Arabidopsis thaliana: one gene and its partners. The protein of the gene in region 1 interacts with the protein of each later gene in a biochemical or structural test. Each region holds a gene or a part of one and is shown on either strand. Other genes may lie near its edges. The genes, in order: ARR3, AHP3 and AHP5.

Region 1 (4,583 bases):
AATGCCGTACGTTATTATATTATTCGATTTGATCCTTCATTCTGAAGAAAGTTCAAAATATTATATGCATCCTCTTTTTAAATAGATATTGTGGTCGTGGTGTGAATCAAAGATATGAGTTTGTGAGTGATTAGGAGCTAAAATGTATACTTAATGTTTTTAGTAGACCTCCTAAGATTAGATATGAATCCATAATCCCCATGATTACATGTATTTGGACAACATTTTATTTCTTCTAATTTGTAGCCATGCATGACCACATAACCTTGAGTTAGATATGATTCATATGAATCATAATTAATCCCCATAATACCATGGTTATTCAACCGTTTTCATTTCTAATTCGTAGCCATGCATGCGTGACCACATGGTCATGGTTTAGCGACATGTGATTGTGAAATATGTGGTCGTAGTCACCAACTTAGCCACTACCTATTCAATGATTAAAATTAAAAAGACCACCAACATGTTCAACATAAGTTGTTAGTTATTATAGGTGTAAATATTACAAGCCGAGTTTCAATAGTATGTGTAGTTTGCAAATGATTTTATTACTATTTTGTGTAGTCTTCTCTAATAGACAGTTATCACACAAAAATTAGTGGTAGCTAGAGTAAGTAGTTGAAAATATTCATAGAAGCCATGCGGAATATTTGAGAGTACATTTTCAAAAATATATCATAATAATACAAGATTTGGTTCTTAATATCAAAGACTATAGATTAAAGAAAAGTATCCTCAAGTCGGTACATTATTGGATATCATACTATCAAATAAATGCTAATCGCTGGCAAAATCTCAAAAGTGATTAGCAGACGATATGAATACACAGAGGTAAACTGTCACACATTATTTGATTATTATGATATTATTAGAAATAGAAACATTATTTAATTTTAAAATTATCAAATATACGTAATTAAATAAATACAATACTTGTTTTTATAAAAGTTCCTTCGTGAGCAAAGAGACCCCACGTGCAACGATATAAAAAGAGAGAGAGAGATCTATAAGTATAAACTGACGGCGTTCAAGTCAACGTTGCAGTCAATAAAACCGTCAAAAGTAAAAAGTTAACGGAGATCGTTATCACACGGATCTCTCTAAGCTAATCCGGGACTCCTCATCGGCGAATCCACAAGCGAAGTTGCAGACTCCGGCGACATTGTCAACGAATCTTCATCGTCAACCATAGACAGAGGCGATTCCACCGTAGAGTCCGAAGATTCCATCGAGGATGTGGCTGAGAGCGGAGGCGGCGGCGGTGGAGTGGTCAGCTTCCGTTTGTTTCCTTCGGCGGCGACTTTAACGTCTCTCGTCAAGTAACTCCTCAGACGTTTCACGTCGGCGAGTTTCACCGGTTTTAGTAAAAAATCCTCCGCACCTTCTTCAAGACATCTACAACAGATTTATTGATTAAATTTCCGATCACCAAAATCGGAATCAAAAAAAAAAGATTCCGGCGAGAGATTTGACCTGTCGATACGAGTCATTACATTCTCCGACGACATAATTACAACAGGAACTTCCTTAAAACTTGTCGATTCCTGTTTTTTAAGAAAATCAAGAATTGAAAAAAAAAAAAAGTAACAGAATTTGTTTTTATGGCGGGAAAATTTCAGAAACCTTAATCTTTTTCAGAAGCTCGTATCCAGTCATTCCAGGCATACAGTAATCAGTGATGATCAAATCCACCTTCAATCTCTGGTAAAAATAAAGATCAAGATCAGAATCTAGAATCTCAAAATGTTTTAAAACAGAGTTATGAGAGATTACATCGAATTCGACGGCGGCTTTGTCGTCGTCTAATCCTAAGAATTCGAGAGCACGCCATCCGCTATCAACCGCCGTGACTGCATTGAATCATCGCCGGAGAATAAGGCTTTTAAAATGTTAAAGGGGAAAGAGGAAGAATTACTAGTTAAGAAACCTTTGCAGGATGTGATTCGAAGCAATCTTTCGATGACTATTCGATCAACTAGGCTGTCATCAACGGCGAGAACGTGGACTTGATCAGAATCTAGCGGCGGAGATTCAAGTTCTCCGATTCCTATACCGATCATCTCCGACCTTCGTAGACAAGAAACGCCACCGTCTTTGGCCATAGTGAGAAAAGAGTAGGAAATGAAAAGATAGAAGAGAGATATTGCTACTAGTTCCTCTCTACTTTGTTTTATATTTTCGTTGTTATACTCTTCTATATCAAATCTTTTTATAGGTGGATCATTTTCTACTTCATTTCTTTTACAAAATATTTTCTTATTCCAAGTGACGATTAATGACACAAAACGGTACGTACCTTTTTTTCTTTTTTGGGATGGGGGCAGCAAGAAATAGCGAACTAATCTGAATAGGTAAAGAAAGATAAATTCGAAGTTCATGATAAGATATAGATAGAAAGTACCGGTTTTGCTTCTTCTTACTTTTAGGATTGGTACTAAATAGATATACTTGGATTACCAACCAAACCCATAACAAGGGTTGTTTGGTATGTATGTTACTGATTTAATGTTCAAATTCGTCTTTTTGTTTCTCACATGTACTATGCTTTTGTTGTTGTTGTTGTTGTTGTTAAAAACACATTTACTATGTTCAGAAAATGATTTTTATTTTCTTCTCTCTATTTTGATGGACCCTTGAGCTTAATTTGAAGAAAAATCTAATGCATAGCTATGTCTTGTCTCCACTTATAAATACAAACTCTTAGACCATCATAAAATATGATGACCAAAACCATAACAAGTAAATAAAAAGGTTTATAGACAAAGTGAAAGAAACATAAAATCCAAAATCAAGCTTTCGTTTTCTATCAGAAATCCCGTTCAGAAAGACTTTATCGCAATGATGAACAGAGGTTTTTCACAAGATATTGTACATATCATTATGTGATTAATTTAGATGTTTAAAGATTTTGGGGTCCATGTAACATGCTTTGAAAGAAGCTTAAATATTAAAAAAAAAAAAAAAAAGATAAAAGAAAAGGAGAAACATTTCAAACTCAAAATTGCTCTTAAAAGACTTGCATATTCACAAAAGAAAAAAATAAGAAGAAACATTTCTCAAGGTTATAAATTAGAAATGCAACTTTACAAACTAAATAATCAAGACATTTATTTTACAACTACAACATTTATGAAGGTTATACATTGGAAATGCAACTTAACAAAACAAATTAATGCAACTTTACAAACTAAATAATCAAGACATTATATTACAACTGCCCCATAATTCACACATAGTGATCAGATCTCACCGTCCCACATCTCGGTGACAGATTTTATAGGACCTTTCTCCGAGATGTAAACCTCTCCGTCAACGATCCTGCTCTGAGAAATCTCCGTCGAGATTCTCTGTTTCTCCTCCTCTGTCAAAGACCAATCAAATATCTTCAGATTCTCTTCCAATCTGTCTTTCCTAAAGCTCTTCACCACCATGCTCACTCCTTCCTCGTAAGCCCATCTCATACTCACCTAGTCAATTGTCTATTACAACTCTAAAAATGAGCTTTAAATACTTTCATTCCCCAAAACTTCTCCACATCACTCTATTACCCGTTTAAAGAGTGAGTTTTTTTTTTTTTTTTTTTTGGGTCAACGAGAGTGAGTGCACAATATAAAAATGTATCAAACAAATAAATAAGTCAATAGTCCAAAATTAAATATCGCATAAAGATAGTTTTAGCCATTATCACAATAAAAATAAAACTAATTTTCAAATGAATATAACAATGACTTTTGTTTACCGATTTGTTAAAATATTTTCTGTAATTAACAAAATTTTCCTTTAAATTACGACTGTTTTTTTTAATATTTATACGTTAAAAGAAATTTAAAAATGTTTTCGTAAATAATTTTAAAACTGTCTTTGGAGAGTACCTGAGCTACTGTTTTTCCCTTTGCCTCAGCAATTTCTTTGAGAACATCAGACTCCATGATTTTGTGAGTTCCCCAAAACGCTCCTCTCGATCCCAACACCGAATAAGCTGTCACAACAATGCCTTTCGACTTACATAACTCCCTCAGTTTTCTCTGTTGCCATACTGGACTCATCTCCACCTTTTTCACATTATCCACAAACAAATGTTTCAAATTATTTCACCAATCCAATATTTTCTTATAAAAAAAAGGTTGAACTTATTTGATAAATTAAATAAGAGAGAATTTTAAATATACTTGATTGACACTAGGTGGGATTTTTGCTATTGAAAGGATGTGTTGGAGTTTCTTGCATGAGAAGTTGCTTACTCCTATACACTTTGCAACTCCGAGTCTCTGACACTCTTCCATCTCAGACCAAACTGTTTCATAATCCATTGGCAAAAAGTCATCTTCTTCTATAGGGAACTTGTATTTACCAGGTTTCGAGCTAACCGGCCAGTGGATTAGGTAGAGATCGAGATAGTCCAATTTAAGAGTTCTACAAAACATGATATGAAAATGATGATTAAGATCATGCAACCCCGAAATACGCTTTTTGTACTTGGCTTGCAGTCCATAGAAGGCTATCAACAGGAGATCGCATGGTTAAATGGTCGGGAGACGTTACAACGGACTGCATTCTCTGTCAAGGTAACCTCGAAACCC
Region 2 (4,695 bases), on another chromosome or scaffold:
CTTCTTCCGGATTGTAGATATGGGACAAGTGGAAAGATGAACTATGCGTGTGATGAAGCCATGTTAAGGTTCGAGCCTGGCTCTCAAAGGAATGCAACTTTGTTTGGAGACCACCCTATTTGCCGCTATCTTCGCTAAGTACTTTTCATCAATAGTTTGTTCTTTAGTTTGTCAAATGATGGACTTTCTAAATTCTTTTGCGTTTTGATATGGACTTGCTTTACCTAAATTAAATTCCTATAAATTAATTAATGGAATATATTTCTTCTAGATGTTAAGTGTTGAACATTCTTAATTCTCTCTCTTTACGAACAATAGATATGTTCTAGAGCAATATCATGGAGTTGTACGTGGTGTTATGATGATTTCTACACGAGGCATTTATCCTTGACGGACAAGTTGCAATTATTTTCCTCCATGATATTCAATTTTTGGGATGGTATTTTCATTCTCCACAAATGTTGCATCTATGAGATCAATATGCATGCAAGATCTCTAATTAATGGTGTGGTGCATGGTCTGCCCTCCCAAAGGTGGATCTTTATCTTTTGTGTTGTGATAGTAAATTTGTATATATATATCTAGTGTTTAAAAATTTGCTAAGCATGGGGTGATCCAATACCTACCTATTAAAAACGTTTAATCCGAACATAGCTACACACGGACCGAATGTTCTTTTTTGGAGTTTTTTATAATTTTATTAAGATTTTGGGACATTTAGATCTCTTTAAATTAATATTTACTAAATTAAAGAGAGTAGTTAAGATCCTTACCAATAAACGAGAGAGATGTTAAGATCCGTCTCATCAAAAAAAGAGAAAGATTTTAAGATCCAAGTCAGGTCACTTTTTTCTTTGGTATTAATCTCACAACTCAATTCTCAACTCAACTCAGGTCACCAAGATTTAACACTTATAATTTTACACTTTGTTTTCTTAATCATTATATACTATCCTAAGCATATATATGAATCTTTCACCATAAGTTATACCATTTATATATGCTAATATTTTCTAAATAAACCTTACAAATTTGTTGGCGCTAACAACCATTGTTTAATTTTGCTTGGGGTGGCTCTAGTTATATTATATAGACCTTAATTTTGCAGGAGGTATGTAACACCTCATATTGCTTCAGCTTAGCAATTCATATATAGCCAAGACGTGTGGACTTCTCACCCAAAGTTTCCTAGTTTAAATGTGAATGCCTCTAAACAAAAGTTCTTGCTTTCGATGTCTAAACTTAGATGTGTTACCGAATAAAGCCAGATTTACCTCCTTTGACCTTACTATATAGCCAGCTCGCTGCCTCCGCAACTCTCAAAATGACACTCGCGATCATATTAGTTGTTTCCAACAAATTGAAAAATAAAACATTTCACTCAAACAAAAAAAGATCTAAACAGCCGAAAAAACAAGTCCAATATCAAAATCTGTTATAGCAAAAAAAAAGAAGGTAGAGTATTTTGGTAAGAAAGAACTCTAAATGCCTCTACGATATAATATTAATAAGTATGTTACCAAACAACTTAATATTAGTGCAAAAAACCCTTTAGTTTGTCATAAACAGCAAAATCTGCCACTATAAGTTGTTTTCATGAGGTCAAGTTGATGAGAGTATATGATTCTCTGAAGCTCATGTCAAAAGAATAGAACCAATGTTCTTCAGTCTTGTCCACACGGTAATGCTTCAAATGAACTTGTCTATAGAGAATCTTCCAGCGTGAGAGATTCTTAGTGTTGGTGGATTGACATAACAGAAACATACCTAACATTGGAAAATGCTAAAAACTTTGAGTGAATGAATGAATGTATCAATCATGAATTAGAGATTCCATTTTTTATGGCCTAAATCAATGTTTCTCACTTGTAAAAGTTGTCTTTTTGACAACTAATCATATTCTAATTCTTTTTCTCTGCCCTTTATGGAAAAGCTTTGTGACTATTTCTTTATTTATTTCTGTCCAAATTTGATGATCTGTAAGAATCTCTTTATTGGGATTGCAATTTCAAACAAACTTTACATCTTCTTCTTCTCTCTGCTTTTGCCTTCACGACGAGTAGAGAGAGCCATGGACACACTCATTGCTCAGTTACAGAGACGATTTTGTGATTTCACCATTAGTCTCTATCACCAGGTAAATTTTAGCATCTCTCCTTAGAGATTCAGGATAAAAGTGATTAACTTTCTTGTGAAGAGAACTTAGAAATTGTGGTTGAGTTTTAAAGTCTCCTTTTTAGAGATGGCTCTCCACAGTCTTTAGGGTTCTTATTGAAGCTTTTAAATTGGAAACTGGGGATTTAAGAGTTAGGTTTACTGATTGTGAAATGGGTTATTGTCTCCATTTTCAAAGTCGTCTCCTTTCAAAGTGATTACTTTTCTGGTGAAGCAAACTTTGAATTTGTGGTTACGTTTTTAGGGTTCTTATTGAAGCTTGTATATGGCAATTGGGGATTTTGGGAATTGGGTTTAGGGTCTGTGAAATGGGTTATTGTCTCTTTTTCAAAGTTGTCTTCTTTTTAGGGATGACTACTCTCTACTGTTTTTAGGGTACTTGGAGCTTGTATTTGGAATTGGGAATTTTGTGAAATGGGTTTCTGAGATTCTTTGTGTTGGTTTTGTAAAGGGGTTTTTGGATGATCAATTCACAGAATTGAAAAAGCTGCAAGATGAATGTAGTCCTGATTTTGTGGCTGAGGTTGTTACTCTCTTCTTTGAAGACTGTGAGAAGCTTATCAGTAATATGGCTAGAGCTTTGTAAGTTTACTTTTCTTTTACGAGTTTAATCATCAAAAGCTAGCAGATATGGTTTAATGATTGGTTCATATGTATACTCAGAGATCAGACAGGAAATGTAGATTTCAAACTGGTAGGTTCTAGTGTTCATCAACTCAAAGGTAGTAGCTCAAGGTATGTCACATTTGATCTGTATAGTCTCGGTCCTTTAGTCTAATCTCGGATCTAGTCTCAGTGAAGAGCTCCTTTCTTGTTGTTCTATGAAGTGTTGGTGCCAAGAGAGTCAAAGGTCTTTGTGTTACCCTCAAGGAGTGTTGCGACTCTCAGAACTATGAAGGGTAAGCTTTTGTTTTCCGGTTCTTCTTTAAGAGAATCTCAAATTTCTGCTATGTTCATTTGATTGTTGAAACTAATTTGGGAAACAATCTCTGTTATAGGTGTGTGAGATGTTTGCAGCAAGTGGATATTGAGTACAAGACATTAAAAGCAAAGCTTCAAGATCTGTTCAATGTGAGTGAAAAGCTACGTGAATTGTGTCGGTTTTTTGCTTTCGAATTTCGTGAATAAGTCTTGCATTGTTTTGTTGCAGCTTGAGCAACAGATTGTCCAAGCTGGTGGTAGAATCCCTCAAGTGGATATATAAACAATAGACCTATCGACAACAGAACAGCAAGATGATGATCATCCAGTTGCATTCTTCAGACGAGTACTACTCGAATTTGTTGCTTCGAAAAAGAAAAAAAACTCTTGAGAATGTGTGGAAAAGAGAGGTGATTGTTGTTCATAGATCAATACTATGTATCTTTTGTATCATCATCTCTTGAATCTTGGTACTGATCTTATCTGAATAGTATGAATTTGCATCTCATAAGACCATATGAACAAGAGTGAGTTATGTATTCAAAAACAGGAATATTTCCAGACACAGAAGCATCATAAGAAGCAGAAAATTCAAGGAGAGCTACACAAGACAACGCGCAAAAGAATAGACTCTGAAAGCAAAAAGCTTCACGAAGACATTGGCAAAAGGAACAAACCAAGAACAAACACTCACAAGTGTCCCCTGTGAAAGCTGAAACCTAAAGTTAAACCCATCAGCTAATGTTAAGAAAGAAAACGTCACGCAGTTCTCACTGTGAAATACAAAACGTCAACGCAGTCTCACTGTCAAATACAAACGTCACGCAGTTCTTACTGTAAAATAAGAAAACGTCAAGCATTTCTCACTGTAAAATACAAACGTCACGCAGTTTGGTTAGATATGTCGTTGCTTTTAAAAAATTGCGACCCAATAGATTTTTCAACAGTCGTTTTTTTCTTTAAATGAGTGAAGTTTTGCGCAGAGCCAACAACGCACTTAGTAGCGTCAAGCAATACCAATCTCTCTTGAATCACTTTGCAGCTACTCAATCAATTTCAAAAACCAAAGCTTTACACTGCCACGTCATCACCGGCGGTCGAGTTTCCGGCCACATTCTCTCGACTCTCTCCGTAACTTATGCGTTATGTGGTCACATCACTTATGCACGGAAGCTGTTCGAGGAAATGCCTCAAAGCTCTTTGCTTTCTTATAACATTGTTATTAGAATGTACGTGCGTGAAGGATTGTATCACGATGCGATTAGCGTGTTTATTAGGATGGTTAGTGAGGGGGTTAAGTGTGTTCCGGATGGTTATACATACCCTTTTGTTGCTAAAGCTGCTGGAGAATTGAAATCGATGAAATTGGGGTTGGTTGTTCATGGGAGGATCTTGAGGAGTTGGTTTGGTAGGGATAAGTATGTGCAGAACGCGTTGTTAGCGATGTATATGAACTTTGGGAAGGTTGAAATGGCGAGGGATGTGTTTGATGTGATGAAGAACCGTGATGTGATTTCGTGGAACACGATGATTAGTGGGTATTATAGGAATGGTTATATGAATGATGCGTTAATGATGTTTGATTGGATGGTTAATGAA
Region 3 (4,691 bases), about 21 Mb from region 1:
ATAGCTCGATATATACCTCTACTGTACAATCTTTTGCCTTGTGTACGTATATTAGCAGATTGTCTCTACTTTTGATGTGCATTAATTAGTTTCATAAGTGTAACTACCGTTTTCTGAAAATAATTAACTCATAGCGTACATCTAAATACGTTTCAAATAATGATTCGCTACTGATTCACATATACCAACCATGCATAATAAAAATGATTTAGTATTCATTCTAAGAGAGACTAGGTAGTGATGAGTAGACCAAATTAGATTTATGAAAAGAAAACTTGGCTTTGCAAGAAAGCCAAAGCAATACGTTCCAATCATAATGAACAAAATTAAAAAGGTCTAAACCCTAAGATGGTCCGCACTACGAGACAATTAACGCACTCGTTTTGGGACTCTTGTGTTTGTTTGGTGTGTCGTCGAATCCTCTCTCCATAGAAGGTAAGATCACATAGTAACCGATATAAGATTTGCTTTGACTTTTGAATCGGTTTCATGAAGAACCCTAAAACCAACCATGTTATAAGGATATTACAAAATTATTTTAAAAACATTGGTTGAGAGAAATAAAAATGATGAAGATGGATATGATAAAATGAAGGATAGAGGAGAAAAGCTTTGTTATTATTTGTTACATTACACGCCTCCATGCCTTCAATTTATGTTTCATTAGTCTCTTTCACTTCACATACTCTTCCTTTAAAAAAAAAAAAATGCTCCACCTAGTGATTACCATAGACACATGGCTTCACATTTTTTATTCCACTTATAAACAATCTATTGATAATTCTTCGACATTTTCTTTTTATTTCATTCCTAGTTTGAGGTAATTCGGACATTATATTAAATACATACCTAACAAGACATGCCCAATCCTTTCTCAATCTATTGTCACAATCATGTCTTATAAGCCCTATAACAATAATGTTGATAAAAGAGACCATGGAATACCGTTAACAAAATAAAGAGACCATGGAATCGTGTTATCCATAATTCAAACAAATCATTCTTGATTAATCCACACATAATGAAATCGTCTAAAGTGCTAACTAGTACCCGCATGCTTTACGGCTCAAATCAAAATCATGAATCCAATAGAGTATATCAGATTCAGAATAATGCTGAGAATTCTAAGTCATGATGGTCAGAACAAAGGCTCCAAATGGTGGTTGCATTGTGACAGGAATACATATGGACATGTCTATTTATAGACTAATAATTCAATTTTTACTCTTAGAACTCAATTAAGAGTCTAAACAAGACACGATATCTGGCCAGGGACAGTGTTGCTGAACCTCATTAATCAATATAAAACATAACAACAACAACAAAACTACAGAGGAGTTTCGGTTTCATTTGTGTCATCAGCCTTGAACATTTGCATAATCGAGAAACGCATCGGTCTAATTTATATCCACTTGAGGAATTGTACCTCCAGCTTGGAGGATCTGTTTCTCTAACTGCAACAACATAACATAACAGAAACAGAAGAATGAGAAGTAGCAAAAGGCTCAGTAAAAAGAATACACAAGCAGAACAAGTAGGTTTTCGCAAAGTTTAAAACTCACATTAAAGAGATCCTGAAGTTTAGTCTTTAACATCTTATATTCATAATCCACCTGCTGTAAACACCTTAGACACCTGTGCCAGATATCATTATCACAATTTGTGTGTGAATTAGAAGAATAGCTTCTCATATAATAAAAAAGTTTAGAGATCCAATAACATTTTGCATCAACAAGCTAAAAAATATACTCACCCTTCACGGTTCTGAACATCGCAACATTCCTTGAAAGATATGCACACATTTTTCACCCTCCTTGCACCGACACTGAGTACAAAGCAGAGACTGAGCCATTAAAATCAATGTAGTTTGGTCACTTAAAACTAGAAAAGCAAATTTAGCAGTGTTCACTGTGACAAACCTGGAGCTACTACCCTTGAGTTGATGAACACCTGAATCCACCTGTTTGAAATCCACATTATCTGGCCGCTCCCTAATGTTTATAATAAACTCATAAAATGCTGTCATGAATATATGAAGCTAATTTACACCCTCAAAAATGAATATGAAGGAGGATTAGAGACAAAGTCCCATGTTAGATAAAAAAGAGAAGCCTAAGAGAGTAAGCAAAGCTTACAGGGATATAGACATGGTATTAATAAGCTTGGAACAGTCGTCGAAGAATAGAGAGACAACTTCAGCTACAAAATCAGGGGTTCCTTCATCTTGCAACTTTCTCAACTCTGAGAACTGATTATCCAGAAATCCCTTCAAAACAACAACATATTATATCATCTTTATAAAAAAAATAAAAAAATTCAAATTCACACATAACTGCACCTTAAGCTTATCTAAGCCCAAAAGTGAGAATCCAGCCAAAGTAAGAAAAGTTTGGTTAGGAACGAACCTGTTGATAAAGAGAAACGATGTAGTCTTGAAATTGTCTCTGCAACTGAGCAACGACGATGGTGTTCATAGCTAAAGTTTACCAAGAACCAGACTTGTAAACAAAGATGGTAAGAGCTTCTCAAACATACATATACCAAAAACAAACAACGGATACGGTGAACTGTATTTCGACGGTTCCGAGATCGATCTAATCGGAGGTTTTTGGCTTAATTTAAAACAGATCCAACAACAACTAGGCGAAAAGACCAAAGAACAAACTTCCAACTTAACTAAGAGATTCCAAATTCAAAATCGGAGCGACACAGAGAGAGATGATGATGAATCTGATCGGAGCGTCGAAAGTTATAATTTATTCCACGTTCCGTTGACTGATTTTGACTTAAATATCAAATGGAGGGTTATTTTTGTAAATGACTATATTGTAGGAATTAATCAAGTACGTAAATAATATTTTAGTTTGTGGGGTGCAAATCTGATTTTATAGATAGGGAAGTTGCTAGCATGCGTTCTCCACAAACGAGATATCTTTTTTTTTTTTTTTTAAAAAAAAAGGTCCAGTCCCAATTGGGCTTAGGCCCGGAATTACAATCGTCCACAGTTACAAAACAGGAAAAATCCGGTCACCGGAAAAAGAGAACCAGAGGTGGATTTGGGCAGTGGAACGGAGGCAGCAAATAGATCTATTAGTACCGTCGTATACAAGGCCCACTACTTTGCAACACAACCACCGGAACGAGATCATTGGCCGAAGTATACGAGTCCTGCCGCAAATCTCTTACCAATGAGCTGGCCGGACCTGCAACAAACCTAACGGAAAAAACCCAGTTTCCGACACTCCGCCACCCAATTTGGTCGAGTCCCCAACCTCGCAAAACGACCACGCATTTCCAAGCCTCTGACCTCCAAAACCTTAGATCTGAAAATTTTCCAAAAGCAAAGCAACCTTCAATCCGGATTGATGGAGACAAAAAACGGAGGCTAAAGAAGGGTGATGGCTCAGACAACCCTTCAGCAACCGGAACCCGCAACAGCCATCTCAGATCCAGTTTGTTAACCATCAAACACGCACTGAAAACCCACCAATCCACAGCGTCTTCCGCCACAGCTACAGCGTCTAACCAAGTGGTTGAACCAAGAAAGACTTCACCGATCTCCACCGACGTCCATAACCAGGAAGAAACGGAAGAGAAGCCTCTCATCCACCGAGAAAGGGCCACCGCTGCCACGCTTACCGGAAAAACCACACCACTCCAATGCCGGAGAAGATAGCTTGCCTTACTCCTGCTTTGTCTTGCAAATTCATAACCTAAGATGAAGAACAGAGGCAGAAAAAACTAGATCTGTAAAAACTGGAAAAAACTTCAAAGAGAGAGAAAATGAACAGTAGCGGAACGATTGTCCAAAGTCCTCCAAACGAGATATCTTTAAATGTTGTTTTGCTAATTAGTGGCGTTTCGAGAGCTAGGCGAGCAACAATGGCGATGAGATTTAATATGGTAAGTGTGTAGTTAATTAACAAAAGTTCAAACCGGATGCTATTCTTACTTGTAAAGACAAACGACCAATTAAGAATCCAAATTTTAATATAGGAATTGAAATAAACTAATGGACCTTGTTTTTGGCGATTCATTTCTTTATTTGTTATCTTAATATGGGTCACGATTCCTTTTGTTATTTAATTGTATTAAGATGTGCATTAAGATGTGGAATAATAGCACTTATGCAAATCTGTGCATTGCAAAAAAAAGAAAGAAGAAGCAAGATGGAGTCAAGTGATCGTTCAAGTCAAGCAAAAGCTTTCGACGAGACAAAAACCGGCGTGAAAGGGCTTGTGGCTTCGGGAATCAAAGAGATTCCAGCCATGTTCCATACACCTCCGGATACTCTAACAAGCCTGAAACAAACAGCACCACCTTCGCAGCAGCTGACGATCCCCACGGTGGATCTGAAAGGAGGAAGCATGGATTTGATATCGCGGCGGAGCGTGGTGGAGAAGATTGGAGACGCTGCGGAGAGATGGGGATTCTTCCAGGTGGTGAATCATGGGATCTCGGTGGAGGTGATGGAGAGGATGAAAGAAGGGATTCGCAGGTTTCACGAGCAGGACCCGGAAGTGAAGAAACGGTTCTACTCTAGGGATCACACTAGAGATGTGCTTTACTACAGCAACATCGATCTCCACACTTGTAATAAGGCTGCAAATTGGAGAGATACGCTCGCCTGTTACATGGCCCCCGATCCTCCCAAGTTACAGGACTTGCCCGCGGTTTGCGGGTAACGTTTC

What was found.
Region 2: the proteins of ARR3 (region 1) and AHP3 form a complex in vitro, tested with the Arabidopsis thaliana proteins (one study listed by BioGRID).
Region 3: the proteins of ARR3 (region 1) and AHP5 form a complex in vitro, tested with the Arabidopsis thaliana proteins (one study listed by BioGRID).

What each region holds. Positions count from the first base shown.
Region 1 is NC_003070.9:22,064,791-22,069,373, forward strand, and holds ARR3 (response regulator 3), read right to left. Parts: upstream 2,444-4,583; 5' UTR 2,382-2,443; coding exon 1,931-2,381; intron 1,854-1,930; coding exon 1,777-1,853; intron 1,705-1,776; coding exon 1,627-1,704; intron 1,548-1,626; coding exon 1,477-1,547; intron 1,399-1,476; coding exon 1,104-1,398; 3' UTR 827-1,103; downstream 1-826. Other genes in the region: AT1G59950 (NAD(P)-linked oxidoreductase superfamily protein), read right to left, coding at 3,243-3,470, 3,876-4,055, 4,173-4,416. UniProt on the Arabidopsis thaliana protein: Functions as a response regulator involved in His-to-Asp phosphorelay signal transduction system. Phosphorylation of the Asp residue in the receiver domain activates the ability of the protein to promote the transcription of target genes.
Region 2 is NC_003076.8:15,746,870-15,751,564, forward strand, and holds AHP3 (histidine-containing phosphotransmitter 3), read left to right. Parts: upstream 1-1,861; 5' UTR 1,862-1,924; coding exon 1,925-2,137; intron 2,138-2,626; coding exon 2,627-2,757; intron 2,758-2,838; coding exon 2,839-2,910; intron 2,911-3,002; coding exon 3,003-3,074; intron 3,075-3,173; coding exon 3,174-3,246; intron 3,247-3,325; coding exon 3,326-3,379; 3' UTR 3,380-4,022; downstream 4,023-4,695. Other genes in the region: AT5G39330 (transmembrane protein, putative (DUF1163)), read left to right, coding at 1-138; AT5G39350 (Tetratricopeptide repeat (TPR)-like superfamily protein), read left to right, coding at 4,060-4,695.
Region 3 is NC_003070.9:845,942-850,632, reverse strand, and holds AHP5 (histidine-containing phosphotransfer factor 5), read right to left. Parts: upstream 2,841-4,691; 5' UTR 2,475-2,840; coding exon 2,406-2,474; intron 2,267-2,405; coding exon 2,136-2,266; intron 1,992-2,135; coding exon 1,920-1,991; intron 1,826-1,919; coding exon 1,754-1,825; intron 1,636-1,753; coding exon 1,563-1,635; coding exon of another isoform or gene 1,506-1,562; exon of another isoform or gene 1,455-1,505; coding exon 1,398-1,454; 3' UTR 1,012-1,397; downstream 1-1,011. Other genes in the region: 2A6 (2-oxoglutarate (2OG) and Fe(II)-dependent oxygenase superfamily protein), read left to right, coding at 4,059-4,681. UniProt on the Arabidopsis thaliana protein: Functions as a two-component phosphorelay mediator between cytokinin sensor histidine kinases and response regulators (B-type ARRs). Plays an important role in propagating cytokinin signal transduction through the multistep His-to-Asp phosphorelay.